Linked DNA regions of Bombyx mori. The protein of the gene in region 4 binds, or shares a complex with, the protein of the main gene of each other region. Links are inferred from orthologs where the notes say so. Each region holds a gene or a part of one and is shown on either strand. Other genes may lie near its edges.

Region 1 (2,334 bases), on a different chromosome or scaffold from region 4:
TTCAAACCGAAACGCATTACTGCTTCACGGCAGAAATAAGCAGGGTGGTGGTAGCTACCCGCGCGGACTCTCAAGAGGTCCTACCACCAGTAAGAGGCTAAACAGCTAATTGGCGTTTTTAAAATATGGATTAGAGTAATTATATAGGATCTAGGTACTACAATTTGGTTTTTTCTTGAGAAATTGTAATGATCTTAGCAGACAGCTGGTTCCAGTGTAATCGCTTGTAATGTTGGTTTAGTGGTTGATTATTAGTTTACGTTACTACAGGTCGAAGTCAATGTTACTTAATGGCTTCCGGTTTTGGAGCGCAGTCACAACTCTCTCGTGTTTTCGGTATCTATAAAACTAAGGATCCTCTTTTTTTTTTCTAAATGACTATCTTGTTTAGAACTACACAACAATCGATTGCTAATACATGCACTTATATAAACGAATTACACAACATTCAGGAATATCAAATCAAAAAAGAAAACCTTTGTTCTTTTAGTTTTTAATTATATTCAATTAATGCGACTAATGCGTAAAAACTCACAATGTCGGCGATTTCATCTACAGATGCCATTTTGAAGTTTACGTTTGAGGTTATCTATCTGGTTTTAAGTCCGAGCAACAGTTTTTCGAAGAACTAAGTAAATGAGGTACTGATTGTTTGTGGACACATTACTCTCAGTGTTAAAATCGATTTAAAACAATAAAAAAACACAATTTTCTTTAAAAAATTAAACAACTCAACCAAGCTCAAACGGGATTAGCGGACGCTATAGATTATACATTTCGCTTTAAGGAATTTTATGACCTGGTAATTAAGATCTTTAAGTCATGTCTTATTTTAATTAATATTCTTATTTTTATGAAAAATGTTACAATTATGTAGTGAAATGACATGAAATGAAGATGATTAATTTTAGATATTAATCAACTGCGATGAAATTAAATTAAATTAGATGAGATGAGATGATATGAGATGACATATTCTCAGTAAAATGGTGGTCATTGACTGAGATTTTTTCAGTGGACTTTTTGGAGGATCTCGAGAAGCTATGTCCAGCGGCTTTATTTCATTTACCCACATTTGTACACTTTCACAGATATTAAACAGTCAATAAACCACCATTATCACATTAAATTAGATTACATTATTACATTTAAGCCTGAAGAAACACTAAATAGACAAAATAAAATAAATCACACAGCTTCACTCCTTACGTTCCCGCCAAAAAGTCCCGATTTGTTTTAAAAATTTAAGCACAGGTAACGAAAACGTAGTAAATGCAAGACATTGGAAATGAGATGGTGCTCCTGCACAAAACTAACAAAATTACGGAAAATACCGATTCACACCGCTACAAAAAGCTATTGGCATTGACATTTTATGATTTTGACTTTGAGTTTTAAATGACATTAATTGAAGAACCCAAGCCAAATTACTGTTTCAGCGCGTTTTCAAACAAACAAAACGAAAAATGTTGTTTTACTCGTTTTTCAAATCGTTAGTCGGTAAGGATGTAGTCGTCGAGCTGAAAAATGACCTCAGCATATGTGGGACGTTGCATTCTGTGGATCAATATCTCAATATAAAGCTTTCGGATATAAGCGTGATTGACTCTGAAAAGTATCCTCATATGTTATCAGTGAAAAATTGTTTTATAAGAGGCTCCGTGGTTCGATACGTACAACTGCCGGCTGATGAGGTAGACACCCAGCTTCTCCAGGATGCCGCTAGAAAGGAGGCGACCGTTTCAACAAGATAGAACTTAACCTAACCTACAACTTCAATTTAAAGTGTACATATTAATATAAGCTTAAGTTTCTTAATAAATCATTCTTATAATATAGTGTTTTAGTAGCGGTCTCCGGATATTCATTTCAGAAAAGAAAGTTTCCTTTGATCGAAAAATAACCTAGTTCTTCAGTTTTATGTAAGTTTTATACCAGAGTATGAAAGAATAATTTATCAATAAAAAACATCTATATTTTTACCATTCTCAAAAATGTATCACAGAAAAAAGTTTTTATTACCTTTCACATCAAACTATACTGATAATTATTAGACATAGCTGCATTCCTTAATACTTAAGCCTTTTTTCAAACCAGAATTGATTTAGATCTCTAGTGTACATAATTTGGATGTAAATATTTACAAAGCTGTTATTTTGGATTTTTAAGATATACTTTTTCTGAAGATGGCCATGTCATAGTTTTCCATAGGCAGAAGGGATTGTAAAAGCATCATTAAAATATGTTGCTTGCCAAACACTGAACCTTCCTGAAACCTGAACCTTTTAAACCTTCTCTGGACTTCACGAATAATTCAAGACCAAATTTAGCCAG
Region 2 (4,120 bases), about 7.4 Mb from region 4:
GGGCGGTGGTACCTACCCGTGCGGACTCATATGAGGTCCTACCACCAATAAGACATTAAAATACACAAGTTGATTACTCTAATTAATACAAAATTTAGAAACTATATGCACTTTTAACAAAAAGTCAGGATTGTGCACTTTTAAAAGTGTATTGAAGGCAACTTTTTGCTTGTATAATGTCTGGAAAAGTCCACATGTGCAGGAGAACTGTCACAAAAGTTAACATTCCTGTTCTGGCTCTTACGTAGCAGCATTCTACATGAGAACAAATCTGCAGCACCAAACAAGGGTGTGTGGCGTCAACTACAGTATTTTAGAATTTAATCTTCCTACGTTATACAAGTGCATATAATTTCTATTATATATCTAAATAGTATTACCTCCCCATATGCATCTTCATCATCTTCCTCAGAGGACTCTTCAAACTGCACATTGATGCCGTATGTCTCGTCTATTTCGGTGTTGCTCTCTGTTGCCGTGGTCATGTTGAAGTCTGTTATTTTCTTGCCTGTCAAGGTTAGGAATTAGTTTTATTACCAGAGATGCATTATGGGACAGTTCAATAATACAATTAGTAAGCAGTGAATATAATTAAATAGAGTAGAAGTCATTTGAACCACTTCACTATTGTGTACAGTTTGTTAATGTTTTTCTTTTTAAAGAAGATAACTATGTTATAGCATTGTCGTAACTTTTAAGGTTTAAACCTTATCACTATAGCACTGTTAATAGCCTTTTCGAGTATTCATTAGAAGAAACGGAACTTTAGTCTTTCTAGTCTAGCTACTGTTACCTTAAATTCATCTCCAATACAAACATTATCTCGTCAATACTTCTAATTTCATTTTACCCCATATCTAGAAGACTATTCTAGGTCCACTTTTTAGTATAGTACTTACCTAAATTGACAAGTAAAGCAAATCTCTCGTCTGGTATGGAACCGAGGAGCATCTCAATTTCCTTCTTCTTCTCTGGATCTTTCAATTTATCGTTCTTTAGAACTAAGAGTACCTGTAATAGTAAATTAGTTTATTGCTGATAAGATATATTGTGAACCCTCCTGAGTATGAGTCACTATCCCGCTTTAGGAGCAAAGCTATTATAAGTTCAGGTTCGAAAGTCGTGGTGGTGGAAGAAGTTAATCTATGAGTCATTGAGAGGTGTCTTCATTACCCAATATTTTTTACTACTACAATTATTATATTATAGTAAATAATAACATTAGTATCCATATCGTTTACAATTTTCTATGATATAGGAGGATATATAATATTGTCTCACCTCATCACAAGCGCCGCATAATATATCCCTTGGCTGGTCTCCGAGAGAGCTCTGCATGAACGCAAGCAGTAGTTCATAGGTATGTCTAGTGTGTTGGGCTCTGGGACGGTATAGAACGCCTGGAGCATCATCAGCCCAAGCCACACGACTGGATTTTGATTTAGAGAGTTCGTAGGAGGCTTCATCACGTTTTTGACGCCTATAAAAATATTGGTATTGCAATCACATTATTTAATTTATTGATATGCAGATATTATCTAGAATATAAATTTAAGTCTTATCATCACTGTTACTGATTAAACATACTGAATTTAAGTCCAATAATATGGACTTTTACAGCAGAATTTCACATTTTCAAGACAAAATGCAAATTATTCTGTTCATAATTCTGTGTTGCCATCCTATGTATTTGTGCTGTAAAAATATAATTCATTGAAACCTAACTGAGAAATATTAATGTTAAAGTAGGAGGCGGCATACATAATGTGACGTCTATTGATGCCGATAACCGTTACCACCAAGTGTATTTATTATAAGTTTCTATTCTATTTACTGTTAAATGAACTGTAAATAGAACAGAAGGCAATAAATAGAAGGGATTCTTTTAAAACAAAATGAGCCCCAACAAGACCCTTTCGTTCAATGAAACATACTTAGCCTTTCTCTCCTCAGCTTTATCTGGTTTAGTGCGTTGAGCTCGATCACCCATCTTAGTTCCTGTGAGCTTTCCAGACAGCGACAAAACTTCACCGGTCGCTTCATCTCGACCACGTCTCTCTATTAACCTTACATCAGCTTGCAGTACAAGATTCGAGTTCTGCGAGAAAAAATTGTTGGTTCAGACTTATGGTGCAACATCTCAGATACATACAGTATTTGAAGGAATTAAATCTGTATTTTCTTAAAGTTGATTGCTCGGGAACTATAGGACATGTTTAGAATGTATCATTCGTATGTATTGTATGAATTTTTATGTATCGTCATAACCTACATTTTATCATTTGTCGCATTTATTTGTTATTGTCTACAGCGTTATAGTGACAACACAAGTACTTGCTGTTATTTAAGCATGGAAATTTTGGTCTTAGGCTACAAGTTTTGACAATATACTAAAAAATCAATATATTATTGACTGGTCAAATGCTTAATTAGTAGGGTTTCTCCAATTCTAAGTTCTCAAACATTCCAATTTTAAAAAAATATATTTTGAACGACACTTACGGCCTTGTACTCATACTGCAGCTGTCTGGCAGCCGCGTCAGCCATGCTTCACTATATACAAGAATGTAGCTTTACTCTTGTTATTTGACAAAAAATGCAGGAAGGTATTTTAAATTCGAAATTACAATTTAAAATAACACAGTTTAAGGTTAGACCGCCGCAGCCATTTTTACTTTATGTGTATAATCTATGGCTCTATGCTCGTAAATATTTCGTGTATCTGTGCTGTGATTTTCATTACGTTACCGGAGACTTTTTGGCGGGAACGCGAGGAGTGAAGTTGTGTGATTTGTTTTATTTTGTCTATTTAGTGTTTCTTCAGGTTTAAATGTGTAATAATGGTGGTTTATTAACTGTTTAATATCTGTGAAAGTGCACAAATGTGGGAAAATGAAACAAAGCTGCTGGACGTAACTTCTCGGGTTCCTCCAAAAAGTCCATTGAAAAAATCTCAGTAAATGACCACCATTTTACTGCGATTATATTTCATCCCATATCATCTCATTTCATTAAATTTCATCCCAGTTGATTAATGTCTCAAATTAATCATCTTCATTTCATTTCACTCCATTTTATCATTTTTCATAAAATTAAGAAAATAAAGTAAAATAAGACATGACTTAAAGGTCTTAGTTACCAGGTCATAAAATCTCTTAAAAAAAAAAACGTTACCGGAATCGAAACTAGCTTGATAGACATTGAATCGATATCAGCTGGTGGTCAATTCAAATATTAAATGTTTGTTAATTAAGTAACTGTCACTCAATTGTTTTGTATATAATTTTATACCTACCATAGATTTTTACAAATACCATGCGATTATAAAGTGAGTAATGAGTAGAGTACCGTACATATTTATTGTCTATAGTAATTTTTCCATTAATATTTATCTTCTGAATGTTGGTATCTCCTTATTTCTAAAACTGTCAATGGAAATTCATCCTTGGGTTGTGATGATTCGTAAAGTTTAATGAACTTTAAAAACAAATCATACTATACTACATTGTTCTCAAATTATTACGTAACAGATTAAAATGGTTTAAGAATTAATGAATGAAGGAAGAATCATGCTTTTGCGGTGCACATGTCTCTTTAGGTTTATGAAATATCTTTATACGTGTACTGAATATTACAAAAAGAAAAAATGCACACAAAGATATACTAAGTTCAAGTAACTGATTTGTAACACTTATTAAGTTTGTGGGTAAATACTGCAACTGCTTTTCCAAGCGGATTCTACCTTATGATTAGGTAAACGATGACCCTGAGTTTTTCTGACAATTTAAAAACAAAAAAATTAAATATGAAAAACTGTTCTAAACTCAAACCCGTTCATTCTTTATTAGGTCTGTTTTTTCGAAATGATAAAAATTGAATTTATTAATACAAGGATCGAAAACACATCATTAGTATAGTCTGTATAGGAATTTAATATATTTAATTTTGACTTTGAATAGGCGATTAAAACGCCTGTCTACCGAGCAATATCTTCCCTCCCGAAGATCTTCCCTTCGCCTCAAACGTAGATAAAAATCTAGTACAATGACAACACCAAATTAGAAATTAAAGGATAAAAACTGTTATAATTATGAAGTTCGTATTGTTACATAAATAAAAT
Region 3 (2,545 bases), on a different chromosome or scaffold from region 4:
CTCTATCTGTATCAAGTTTCAAGGATCATCATTAAAATATTGCTTTTACACTGTTTTTTTTTACTCTGTTTTTTACCATTTCATTAATGGGTATTGCCATATTATACAATAGTATTATTACTTTAAGCGTTTTTTGTAAATAAATGATTTCAGTATACTTTGATTTTTTTTATATATTGACACGAATTGAATAGTGTGAAAACCAATTAAAGATATAAAACAAAAAAATGTATTTTCTTAAAATATCAAGAAATAATAAAGTTGTATCCCATTTTAGATTTAACAGAGATATGGGTAGCTTAAATATTTTATATTAATGGATTGATGAATTCATAACTACCTGTGCATCTGCAGTTTCCAAATTATTTAGATATTATTGATTTTCAATGAATTCTACATCAGGATTATGACTAATAAATAATCTTGGATTTGGTCAAATATATGGTTGCTTTGCACCAGCATGTATGGAGGAATTTTGAACTTTAAATGAAACAAAACTATTCCTTAGCCAAATAACTTAATTTATTAAAAAACTTATCTTACATTTTATTTTTATTTTTGTTCTGTGGTCGCGGGTTCCCGCCGCCACGGGCTAGTGGAGGTGCTCTGCCGCGGTTACCGAATGCGCCTCGGCTACCACCACGGCCACCGGTCCTCATGTTTTGCCCGCGTCCCTTGGAAACCTCGTTACGACCGCGCGCTTTAACCTGTGTCTCCTCCTTCACCATGTCGATGACCTCGTCCGGTATTCTCAAGTATTTGATCGTACTACCACGTATATAACATTCCGGCATCCTCCAGAACTTGTCGCCGTCTCTCGACGTGCAAATAACTTCACGTAAATTAATGTTCATCCAATTATCGCAGCTTACGAGATGACCATTGTAAGTTTCGCCATTTTTCAATTCGACAAGCATAGGGTGGTTCTGCGCTGTCCGTAACAAAGATAGCGGCAACATTTTGATGTAATGATCAACTTCGTTTTGAAGTTTATTATTTATTTGTATTAGAAGTTTATTTTCCTACTTTCGCGTTGTTTGGTGTATTGTCAACTTCTTGTTTTTTTAGGTTACTTTAGGACTTTAGGTTGACACTGACAGTGCTCAGTTGTCAGAAGACGCACAGATAATACACTTAATATTTGAGAAGAAGTGAAAATTGCTTCAATGGTAATGTAATGAAGTTTGTGAACAAGAATTTACAAGTAGACGAGTCCAACTGGAGAGTTAAGGGACAGTTCTAGTAGTAGTGAATCTTGTGATGATGATGAATAATAATAAAACAATTTACGTTGCACACCATTGTATTAGTAATAAATAATTAGAAATCTCATTCCTGGTTTCAATTTATTCTAAAGGTGAACCCGTCTACAAAAATTGCATTCAATAGGATAAATGATGAAAAAAAAGAACGTATCGAAACTGGTGTTGAAGGGTTTTGTTGCTGAACTTAATAGTTAAATGTAATGTAACTTTTTTTGTTTTAATTTGACCATACAGCTTACTGTCCATGCAACTATCAATTTCTAGTTCCATGAGAATAAATCTATGTTCGATAATCCAAAGTCAATGACTTTAGCATCCTTACTGTGAGCTGTCAAAATTATCATAAATTTTTACTTTTTGGCGGGAACGCGGGGAGTGAAGTTGTGTGATTTGTTTTATTTTGTCTATTTATTGTTTCTTCAGGTTTAACTGTATAATATCTGTGAAAGTGCACAAGTGTGGGAAATTGAAACAAATCCGCTAGACGTAGCTTGTTGGGATCGTCCAAAGAGCCAATTGAAAAGTCTTAGTAAATGTCCACCATTTTACTGAGATTATATTTCATCCTACATCATCTCATCTCATTTCATTTAATTTCATCTCACTTCATTTCATCTTCATTTCATTTCACTCTATATTATCATTTTTCGTAAAAATAAGAATTAAATAAATTAAAATAAGATTTGACCTAAAAGTTTTAGTTACTAGGTCATAAAATCCCTTAGAAAATATCCTAAATTTGAAAAAAAAAACAGAGTTCAATGCCTTTAATTTGTCGGTCAGCTGTCAATTGTCAATCCTGTGAAAAAAAATGTTTTCAATTGTTAGCCGGTCGGTAGAATAATTTTCATATTCACACGAAAATCAATTAAATAGGTAAAAAGATAATAAGTTCAAGCCCTTCAGTGAGAAATTAGGAATAGATTTCTTGTTTTGAGTCTAACGTAAGTTTGAAACTATTTCTGTACAATTATAATATTCCAAGGAGACCTCGTGTTCCAAATTTTAGTTTTTCTCTTTATTAATTAGTTAAGTTTATTAATTCTTGATTTAATTACGGTTAAAAATCGGTTACGGTTTTTGAAAATCAGATTCTTAATCGCTTATTACGATCAATTAGTTTAGTATATTTGATAAATAATACATTACCCAGTACCTACATTTTTTGAGTTTACACTTACACCTGTAAGCGTTACTTTTGTATCTTCAAATCTGGTCATCAGAGCGAGAAAAAGTATAATGGTAAAATACTATGACGTGATATTCAATAAAATAATTAA
Region 4 (3,500 bases):
TGGGGTTGGCACAGCGAATTTTCCTATTCCATTCTCTTCTATCAGCCGTCATCTCAACACTGTTTCCTCTCTCTCTCATATCGTCATTCACACACTCCATCCATGTCTTCTTCGGTCGACCTCTTCCCCCTCTACGTTGCACTACCATTTCCATACATCTCCTAGTCACATGCATCTTCTCTCCATGCCTCACATGTCCACACCACGCTAGCCTATTTATTTGGTAGTACCTACCCGCGCGGGACTTACAAGAGGTCCTACCACCAGTAAAGGGCTCCCCTGTAAAGTTGCTAAAATGTCACTTAAACCAAACATCCTTTCATGTGCAACAAACTTTCATCCTTCCTCGACATGTATTTTGCCCTTGCAGGTCAGGGCTGGTTAAGGTCTGGTCGGTGCCGGACTGCGCCCCCCTGCAGGTGCTCAAGGGCCACACTTGCAACGTGAGCAGCGCGACCTTCCACCCGAAGGCGGAACTGCCCTCGCATTTCCGGCAAAAGGTGAGTGGGAAGTTTAACTTCTCTTGGATTGGATAAGGTAAACGTCATTGGAGTTATCCTTAGTACGAGTGTAGTATACGTGACAGAAGTTTAACTTCTGTGACGATAAAAATGAAAGCAGAGCGCTATGAATGAACTTTGGTCATAACATTGTTAATGACGATGCAAGTGAAATTTTTGATGCCTGTTATAGAGTGTTGCTAATTTAGCTGTGAAACTGAAGAATTAATAACGACTATATTATGTCGAATCTAAGTCATGTGAATTTTATTGCTTATTTTGGTAACTTAGGGTTTCCGTACGCGGTGCGATAGTGGCTGTCTGTGAAGAGGCAGCATTAGTTTAGGATCTGTGCAAAGTTCACAAGAGTGGAGAGACATGATGTGAACTGGTCTGACTTGACTGACGGGGTTCCTCCGAAGAGTATTAAAGTCTCAATAAATTCTCACCATTTTAATAATAGGTGGCATCCAACTTTATCGCGCTTGACATGAAACAGATACGGCTGTACGGGCCTCGTTCCCTTTGCCGGGTAAAAGTGAATAGAAAAAAAAATCCAGCAAACGTTAACTTCGCAGGTGAACGTAACTAATGGGGACGCGATGGAGGCGGACGGCTCGGACGACGACAAGTCTGCCGTTTGCACGATGGCTTCGTGCGCGTACGACGGTACCGTCCACCTGTGGAACTTTGCGAGGTACGTGCGGCTGCGGACCCCCCGACAAACCTCTGATACCAAATATCTAGGATTACCAAGCTATCGGACTGAAACATCGCTCATTAAAAACATCGATATTAGGAAAAAAAAAACAATTTAAATGCTTTTAATTTTTAAATAAACTACTACTAATTGAATAAGAACTGTCTGATGAACTTATCTTTTTTTAATAATTCACTATTAAATTTTATTGCCTTTTGTTTATATCACTTTTACACTAAACACAATATTGCAAATTACCCGAGCCCAACAATGGCGGAGAGCTTTAGGTGCGTGAGAGCAGACGTAGACACTAACGCGCATGCGCACTTGTCAGTACCCAGGGGCGAAAAATTTACACTTTCTTTCCTGTTCAGCGGGAGGAAAACCGAACTTTGGGCGTCGGTAGGAGAAAAATAATATTTGCCAATGATTTTTCTGTCCGAAATCGGAATTTGGGTAGCACCTCGATTGGTGATAAGGTGTCTTGTGGGGAATCACCGTCATGCCTCACTCCGTCAAGGTTCCATCAAACGTCCCGGTGTGACAGGACGACCGTATCAGTGTCCCCGAAGCTCCCTCCACTGGGGGACAGGATTGAGTGATAATGAGTGCTTGTTCGCCAGCGAATCCCCCATGGCGTCGTTGCCGGGACACAGTCCGCACCGCGTGTCCCGGGCAGAGTTCCACCCCTCGGGGCGGTTCCTCGCGACGACGGTCTTCGATCACTCCTGGAGGCTGTGGGACTTGGAGACAGGTAGGCATCCTATCCTGTAATTTTTACAGCTGGTTTAACGAGAGGATCCCACTCTTACGTAACTCTAATTTGGTCTCGAAGGTTCCCAGGGTGTGGCCAATTTCGTCCACTGGCGTCCCATGAACCTCCATAGCCATATAAGCCAGCGGTCGGGGAACCGGGGTAAATTACCCCGAATGGGGTAAAATGAAATTTGGGGGGTTAAAAATTAAACTTTTGTGAGTAAAAAGTATATATTGAAGTGAAACTTCTTTAGAATCGTTGCGATTTCAAATTATCATGGGGGCTATAATATAAAAGATGCTAAAAAGAAGGCATTTCGTTATTTTTTGTTCCTCGCCATGGGGTAATATCAACTTACACAAAAATATTTTGGGGTAATAATTAAAAAAGTTCCCCGACCGCTGATCTAAGCTGATACACACAAATATAGTCTTAATACATTTTAATAAACTTGCCAGACAATTTAACTATGATTTGAATGGGAGTTAAAATTGTATACTGCGTTACTTGGCTGTGTTCCCAGCATTGCTGCTGTCCATGGAAAACAATGACCACTCACCACCAAGTGGGTCGTGTGCTGCTTGCTATGGCAATCAAAAAAATATGAGGTTTTTTTTTGTATGGAAACTAACGACATCTTGTAGCGGATGCCCCTAAACTTGTATGTTGTTAAAGATATGGCATTTAATTATTGTAGAACTAAACATTGAAAATAAAAAATTATAGTAAATCATACAAGTCTTTATTTGTTATAGATTTATTTACAAAATACTTCATAAAAAATAAAATATAGGATAGGTAGTATGTTACTGCCATCTACAGGAGCAATGAGAAACTAATGGAGCCGAAGCCATCTAGTGGCCGACGCCCGTAAACATTTTTGTCGAGTGCTTGAGTTGCTTATCTATAACTAATTAAGTGTTTTTATTATCTATGGGTTTTTGGCGGGAACGCGAGGAGTGAAGTTGTGTGATTTGTTTTATTTTGTCTATTTAGTGTTTGTTCAGATTTAAATGTGTGATAACGGTGGTTTATTAACTGTTTAGTATCAGCTGTGAAAGTGCACAAATGTGGGAAAATGAAACAAAGCCTGTTGGACGTAACTTCTCGGGATCCTCCAAAAAGTCCACTGAATTTTTTTTAGTAAATGACCACCATTTTGCTGTGCTTATATTTCATCCCATATCATCTCATTTCATTTCACTCCATTTAAAAATGTTCATAAAAATAAGAATATCAATTAAAATAAGACATGACCTAAAGGTCTTAGTTACCAGATCATAAAATCCCTTAAACAAAGGAGCTAATTATAAAATGCTTTTGTTTTTTATAGCGACCGAAGTATTGCACCAGGAGGGTCACGCTAAGCCGGTCTATAGTATAGCTTTCCAGTGCGACGGGTCCCTGGCCGTCACCGGGTGAGTGCGGGGGGCCGGGGGGATCGACCGGGTTCTGTTTGTGGTGGGGGGAGGGGGGTCTGACCTCCTGCGACAACCAGACATAAGCTCGTTCTTTCTTGTACATCTGATAATTGAAGTAGATC
Region 5 (4,101 bases), on a different chromosome or scaffold from region 4:
TTTCTAAACGAAATTTGACTTCAAGTTGCCAACTTACAATATTTATGTTTTTGTTAGTATAAAAATAAAGGTTTGCATATTACGAAATAAATATGAGTTTTCACCACCATTGAAGTAGCTTCTTGCAGTGCATTATTAATAAAATAGAAGCACAGATATAAATATTTTTATTAAGTTTTATTAAATATTAATTGGCAAAAAATTACTTAAATTCGTTTAATGGATCGATGTTTTTCGATTTTAAATCGATGACATTCGTACGATGCTTAAATACATTAAAATGTATGATATACTGTATAGACGTATATTAACAGTCTTTTTGTAAAACTTTTTACTTTATCTGTTGGTTCGGTCTTGTTTTTACTTTACGGAGTTTTTAATATTTTTTATAATTCGGTTTTGGCAAGCGGTTAGCGGTTAGGCATGCCTAATAGCTTAAGCTTATAAATGATGGTATACATTAATACAACCACAGTGATTCATATTTTTTTGGATTGTTATACCATAAACTGCGTTTATTTGTGATCTAGGACTGTATAAAGTAGCACGGACGGATGGAAGTAAAACATTTTGAACAAAGGGGTAACCTAGATACTCTAAGAGTCGGTGCACGAAAGCGTTTGTTAAATTTATGAATTCAGAACCCACCAACTAGAGCAGCAACCAGATAGACCCTGAGTTCACAATCATTAGAATTCTGTACAGTGCTAGAATAGATTTATTTATGTATTTTCCCTAGCAGCCAGTAATTGCCTTATTTTTGTTTTTTTCTATTGGCTACTGCCAGAAGTTACGTTGGAAGGCTTGATGAGTTTATCTTTACAAACGCAACCATTGTGATCATCTATAATATTATATTTTCAGACATTTTTGCCAAAGACCATCAAACACCCCAACAATCTAGCACCCCACTAGATGCTTCTTTTTCTATTTGTTCTGAGTGTCCTTTTAAGCTTCTGTTTTTATGTTTCGTATGAATGATGCATTATGATATTCTTATGCAAATTCATAAAATTTCATAAAACGTGATATTTTGTATTTAAAAATCTAAATTATAATGTATCCTCCCATGGTACGCTGCCATGGATATACTACTAGCCCAAGAAAGATTCATGTCAGACAGACGGCCGATCGTAAAACTCATGCTAAAATCTCTTTCAGCAAGTTATGAGGACCATATTACTACCATAAATAACGTAGATTTATTATGGCCGGGAAAAAGTAGCTCGATCAAAGCTGTCAAGTTTCTGACAAGGCTTAAGAAGAACTCTGCAATAGGCAGTAGCTTGACCGTACGTACCTCTGATATTGTTGATGTCCAAGATCTATAATTTCCAAAATTATAATCGTAATATCGCCGTGTCAAAGGTTCTTATTTAATTTTGGAAGTGGCAGCACTGTCTCAGACGGTAGAATATAGTAGAAAAGTTAAATTCATTGACAAAATTCCAAAGAGTATATAATCACTACGTTATAAGAGTCCGCACTTCATAGTAAACGTTACAAAATGAAAATGTATGGGATCAGATCCGATCTGGTGACAACATTAAAACAACCACAGACTACAAAAATCCTACCACTGTCAAAAATAGTGATGGGCATTAATATCGATGTCCAATAAATAATGATGCGAATATTATCGATATTTTTGTCGATATCGAATGCAGGCAAGGATTGCATATTGAAATAAAAACTTTATTATTTTAAAAGAAATAAAACAATGTTTTATTACTTAGTATAATTTTAATGAAATTTGTAAGTAGAATTTTAACGCTTACAAAAAATTTTAAGTTTGTATCGGAAATGTTTAATTTTTATTTTACAATATAAACCAATATTTACTTAATTTTATGCAAGGTACAATAAGTATACATGTAGAGGTTTTCAACCTTGTTTTATAATGTTATAACGAACTAGGTTTTGAAAATTTTTGTGCTAAATAAAAAACAATTCGTTTCTATTTCCATTTGAAGAGTAAATTTTTAAAAACTTCTATTTTATAATAGTAAAAAAATAAAGTTCTAAATCTCTAAATGTATACTTTTTTTGAACTCAAACCCGAAGTTAACTTCTTTCTACAAAAAACAAATAAAAACTAATTATGTAATTATCTTGAAACACCATATTGTTGACCCCTTTTGTTCGCGTCCGCCAAATCCTCTTCCTTTGAAACTTGCTTTAAATTAATTATCTGGCACTGTCGCCGAATCAGCATTAGAGCCAATTTTGTAAACAATAAGTCTGACATTTGTTGACGATGATTAATGCATAGCCACTCTGTATTACAATTTGAATAAAATATAGTAATTGTCCACTGGCAAATATTGTTATTATGTAGGTTAGGGATACAAAACTGTTCAAAATTTGTAACCGCAGTGTGTACAGTTTGACACAACTGCAATGATGGATATGTCAAACATTTCTTATCTTGCCACCACTCCCTTAATTTAATTAAATCATAAATCTTATTTTCCTCTGGATCTGCAACTGTCAAAGTTTCTCTACAGACCTGGCAATCATTTTTTTTTAGAATAACAGAAGCTAGATATCCACTTATATAGACCACTGGTTGATTTGAAATTTTTGCTAGGTCACATACTATTTCTTTATATTCTTCTTCTTCAGGTATACTGAGAACCGGGTTGTCTTCCTCATTTTCATTTTCTGTGGAAACATGACTAGGAGACTCATTAATATCTTGACCTTGATCATCTTCGTCTTTAAACCCAAAAACTAAATCATGAAAATCCGTCATGAGTTCCTTTTTGTCTTCTTCACAATTGGAGTTTTTGCTGTGAGGGGCGGTAAGTCCTGATATTATAGAGGTTTTCATAGCTGCTATAAATGTAGAACACGTCGGATGCTTGTTTGTTTGACCATGCTGTCTTATTAACCCAAATAAATTTTCTAATGCATCCTGGTTTAACTGCCGTAGATTCAAATACTTATATCCTAAATCCTGAACTTCCAGCCAAATATCACGCAGCGATTTTAATGATATAATGTAGCCTTGAACACACTTTACATTTTTTGCTTCCACGCCATTATGGTTGAAAAATGTTAAAGTAGACAGTTGCTTTCTATATTCTGTCCAAACAGCTAAATGGTCAGTTTTAGCAGATACGTTTTCCCGTATACCTTTTTTTACGTCAGCATGTCCTGATGGCCCATTTGTATAATCAAAAAGTTTATTGAATTTTTCAATTAACAAAGCAGTCTGTAATATTTCATCTGATCGGTGTACATTTTCCACATTCGTAGCTAATAATTTAAGAACAGCAGCCACTGTTTGGCTAAATATTTGTGCGGCATACTTAACTTTCATTTTAGCTCTGTACTTTGGTTGTACATGAGTTGATTTGAGTTTGCTAAGATATAAAAAATTTCTATTTCGTTCCTCTACCTCAACTAAATGGCTCCATTGACCTTTCAATTCTCCCATTTTCAGAAATCCTTGTTTTAAAAAGTTATTTCTCAGTGATTTTAATAAATGTGGAATATCATAAATTATATAAATTTTTTTATTTTCAAATTCAAAATAATTATGTCCACCATTGTTCCACTCCTTTAACAGACTTAATGCTCCCATATTGGTGGGCGCTTGATCACATATTGTTGATAAAACTTGAAATCCCGAGTTAGTAATTTCTTTAATTATATCTTTTATTAAAACTGCTAATTTTTCTGAAGATACTGTGCCTCTTATGAAATAGAATGCCAGCGGTTGTTTAATTTTTCTCCCAATACCTTGTAACATGAAGACTAAGGCATGATTTGCTAGCTCATCTTTCCTCTCATATCCATAATCGATAAACCCTTCCACTTTATCTGTGGCTTCGCTATAAGTTAACCTTTCTTTTAACGCTATTTCATCAAAGACTAGCGAACATAATTTTGCTCTTATTTTTTTAATGGGAGCTAGTTTTTTCAGGTGGTCAAGTACAGCTGTATTTAAACCTGGCTCAACAGGTATTTTTTTCATTAATTTTTGCAATGTTTTGATACTCGGAAATGGTGCGAGATATCGCAGATATCGGTAAGCTTTTGGTGAACGCTTGAAGATGGCTAATGCTGATATTTTATTTTTAATAGTCCAGCGTT

What was found.
Region 1: U4/U6 small nuclear ribonucleoprotein Prp4 (region 4) and U6 snRNA-associated Sm-like protein LSm2 share a complex: the UniProt entries of both Homo sapiens proteins name them as parts of the precatalytic spliceosome. The link is inferred for Bombyx mori from reciprocal best matches to the Homo sapiens genes PRPF4 and LSM2.
Region 2: U4/U6 small nuclear ribonucleoprotein Prp4 (region 4) and U5 small nuclear ribonucleoprotein 200 kDa helicase share a complex: the UniProt entries of both Homo sapiens proteins name them as parts of the U4/U6-U5 tri-snRNP complex. The link is inferred for Bombyx mori from reciprocal best matches to the Homo sapiens genes PRPF4 and SNRNP200.
Region 3: U4/U6 small nuclear ribonucleoprotein Prp4 (region 4) and U6 snRNA-associated Sm-like protein LSm4 share a complex: the UniProt entries of both Homo sapiens proteins name them as parts of the precatalytic spliceosome. The link is inferred for Bombyx mori from reciprocal best matches to the Homo sapiens genes PRPF4 and LSM4.
Region 5: U4/U6 small nuclear ribonucleoprotein Prp4 (region 4) and small nuclear ribonucleoprotein G share a complex: the UniProt entries of both Homo sapiens proteins name them as parts of the U4/U6-U5 tri-snRNP complex. The link is inferred for Bombyx mori from reciprocal best matches to the Homo sapiens genes PRPF4 and SNRPG.

The regions. Positions count from the first base shown.
Region 1 is NC_085129.1:20,029,942-20,032,275, reverse strand, and holds U6 snRNA-associated Sm-like protein LSm2, read left to right. Parts: upstream 1-1,393; 5' UTR 1,394-1,466; coding exon 1,467-1,754; 3' UTR 1,755-1,834; downstream 1,835-2,334. Other genes in the region: protein suppressor of forked, read right to left, coding at 536-565. UniProt on the Homo sapiens protein: Plays a role in pre-mRNA splicing as component of the U4/U6-U5 tri-snRNP complex that is involved in spliceosome assembly, and as component of the precatalytic spliceosome (spliceosome B complex).
Region 2 is NC_085130.1:11,180,194-11,184,313, reverse strand, and holds the start of U5 small nuclear ribonucleoprotein 200 kDa helicase, read right to left. Parts: upstream 2,801-4,120; 5' UTR 2,548-2,800; coding exon 2,503-2,547; intron 2,099-2,502; coding exon 1,935-2,098; intron 1,481-1,934; coding exon 1,282-1,480; intron 1,012-1,281; coding exon 900-1,011; intron 509-899; coding exon 381-508; intron 1-380. UniProt on the Homo sapiens protein: Catalyzes the ATP-dependent unwinding of U4/U6 RNA duplices, an essential step in the assembly of a catalytically active spliceosome. Plays a role in pre-mRNA splicing as a core component of precatalytic, catalytic and postcatalytic spliceosomal complexes.
Region 3 is NC_085117.1:3,992,249-3,994,793, reverse strand, and holds U6 snRNA-associated Sm-like protein LSm4, read right to left. Parts: upstream 1,327-2,545; 5' UTR 960-1,326; coding exon 540-959; 3' UTR 501-539; downstream 1-500. UniProt on the Homo sapiens protein: Plays a role in pre-mRNA splicing as component of the U4/U6-U5 tri-snRNP complex that is involved in spliceosome assembly, and as component of the precatalytic spliceosome (spliceosome B complex).
Region 4 is NC_085130.1:18,536,635-18,540,134, reverse strand, and holds part of U4/U6 small nuclear ribonucleoprotein Prp4, read left to right. Parts: exon of another isoform or gene 1-370; coding exon 371-500; exon of another isoform or gene 501-1,078; coding exon 1,079-1,197; exon of another isoform or gene 1,198-1,823; coding exon 1,824-1,954; exon of another isoform or gene 1,955-1,963; coding exon of another isoform or gene 1,964-1,968; intron 1,969-3,290; coding exon 3,291-3,375; intron 3,376-3,500. UniProt on the Homo sapiens protein: Plays a role in pre-mRNA splicing as component of the U4/U6-U5 tri-snRNP complex that is involved in spliceosome assembly, and as component of the precatalytic spliceosome (spliceosome B complex).
Region 5 is NC_085133.1:8,591,043-8,595,143, reverse strand, and holds the start of small nuclear ribonucleoprotein G, read left to right. Parts: upstream 1-1,301; 5' UTR 1,302-1,449; intron 1,450-1,723; exon of another isoform or gene 1,724-2,107; coding exon of another isoform or gene 2,108-4,101. Other genes in the region: uncharacterized protein LOC134201547, read right to left, coding at 2,108-4,101. UniProt on the Homo sapiens protein: Plays a role in pre-mRNA splicing as a core component of the spliceosomal U1, U2, U4 and U5 small nuclear ribonucleoproteins (snRNPs), the building blocks of the spliceosome.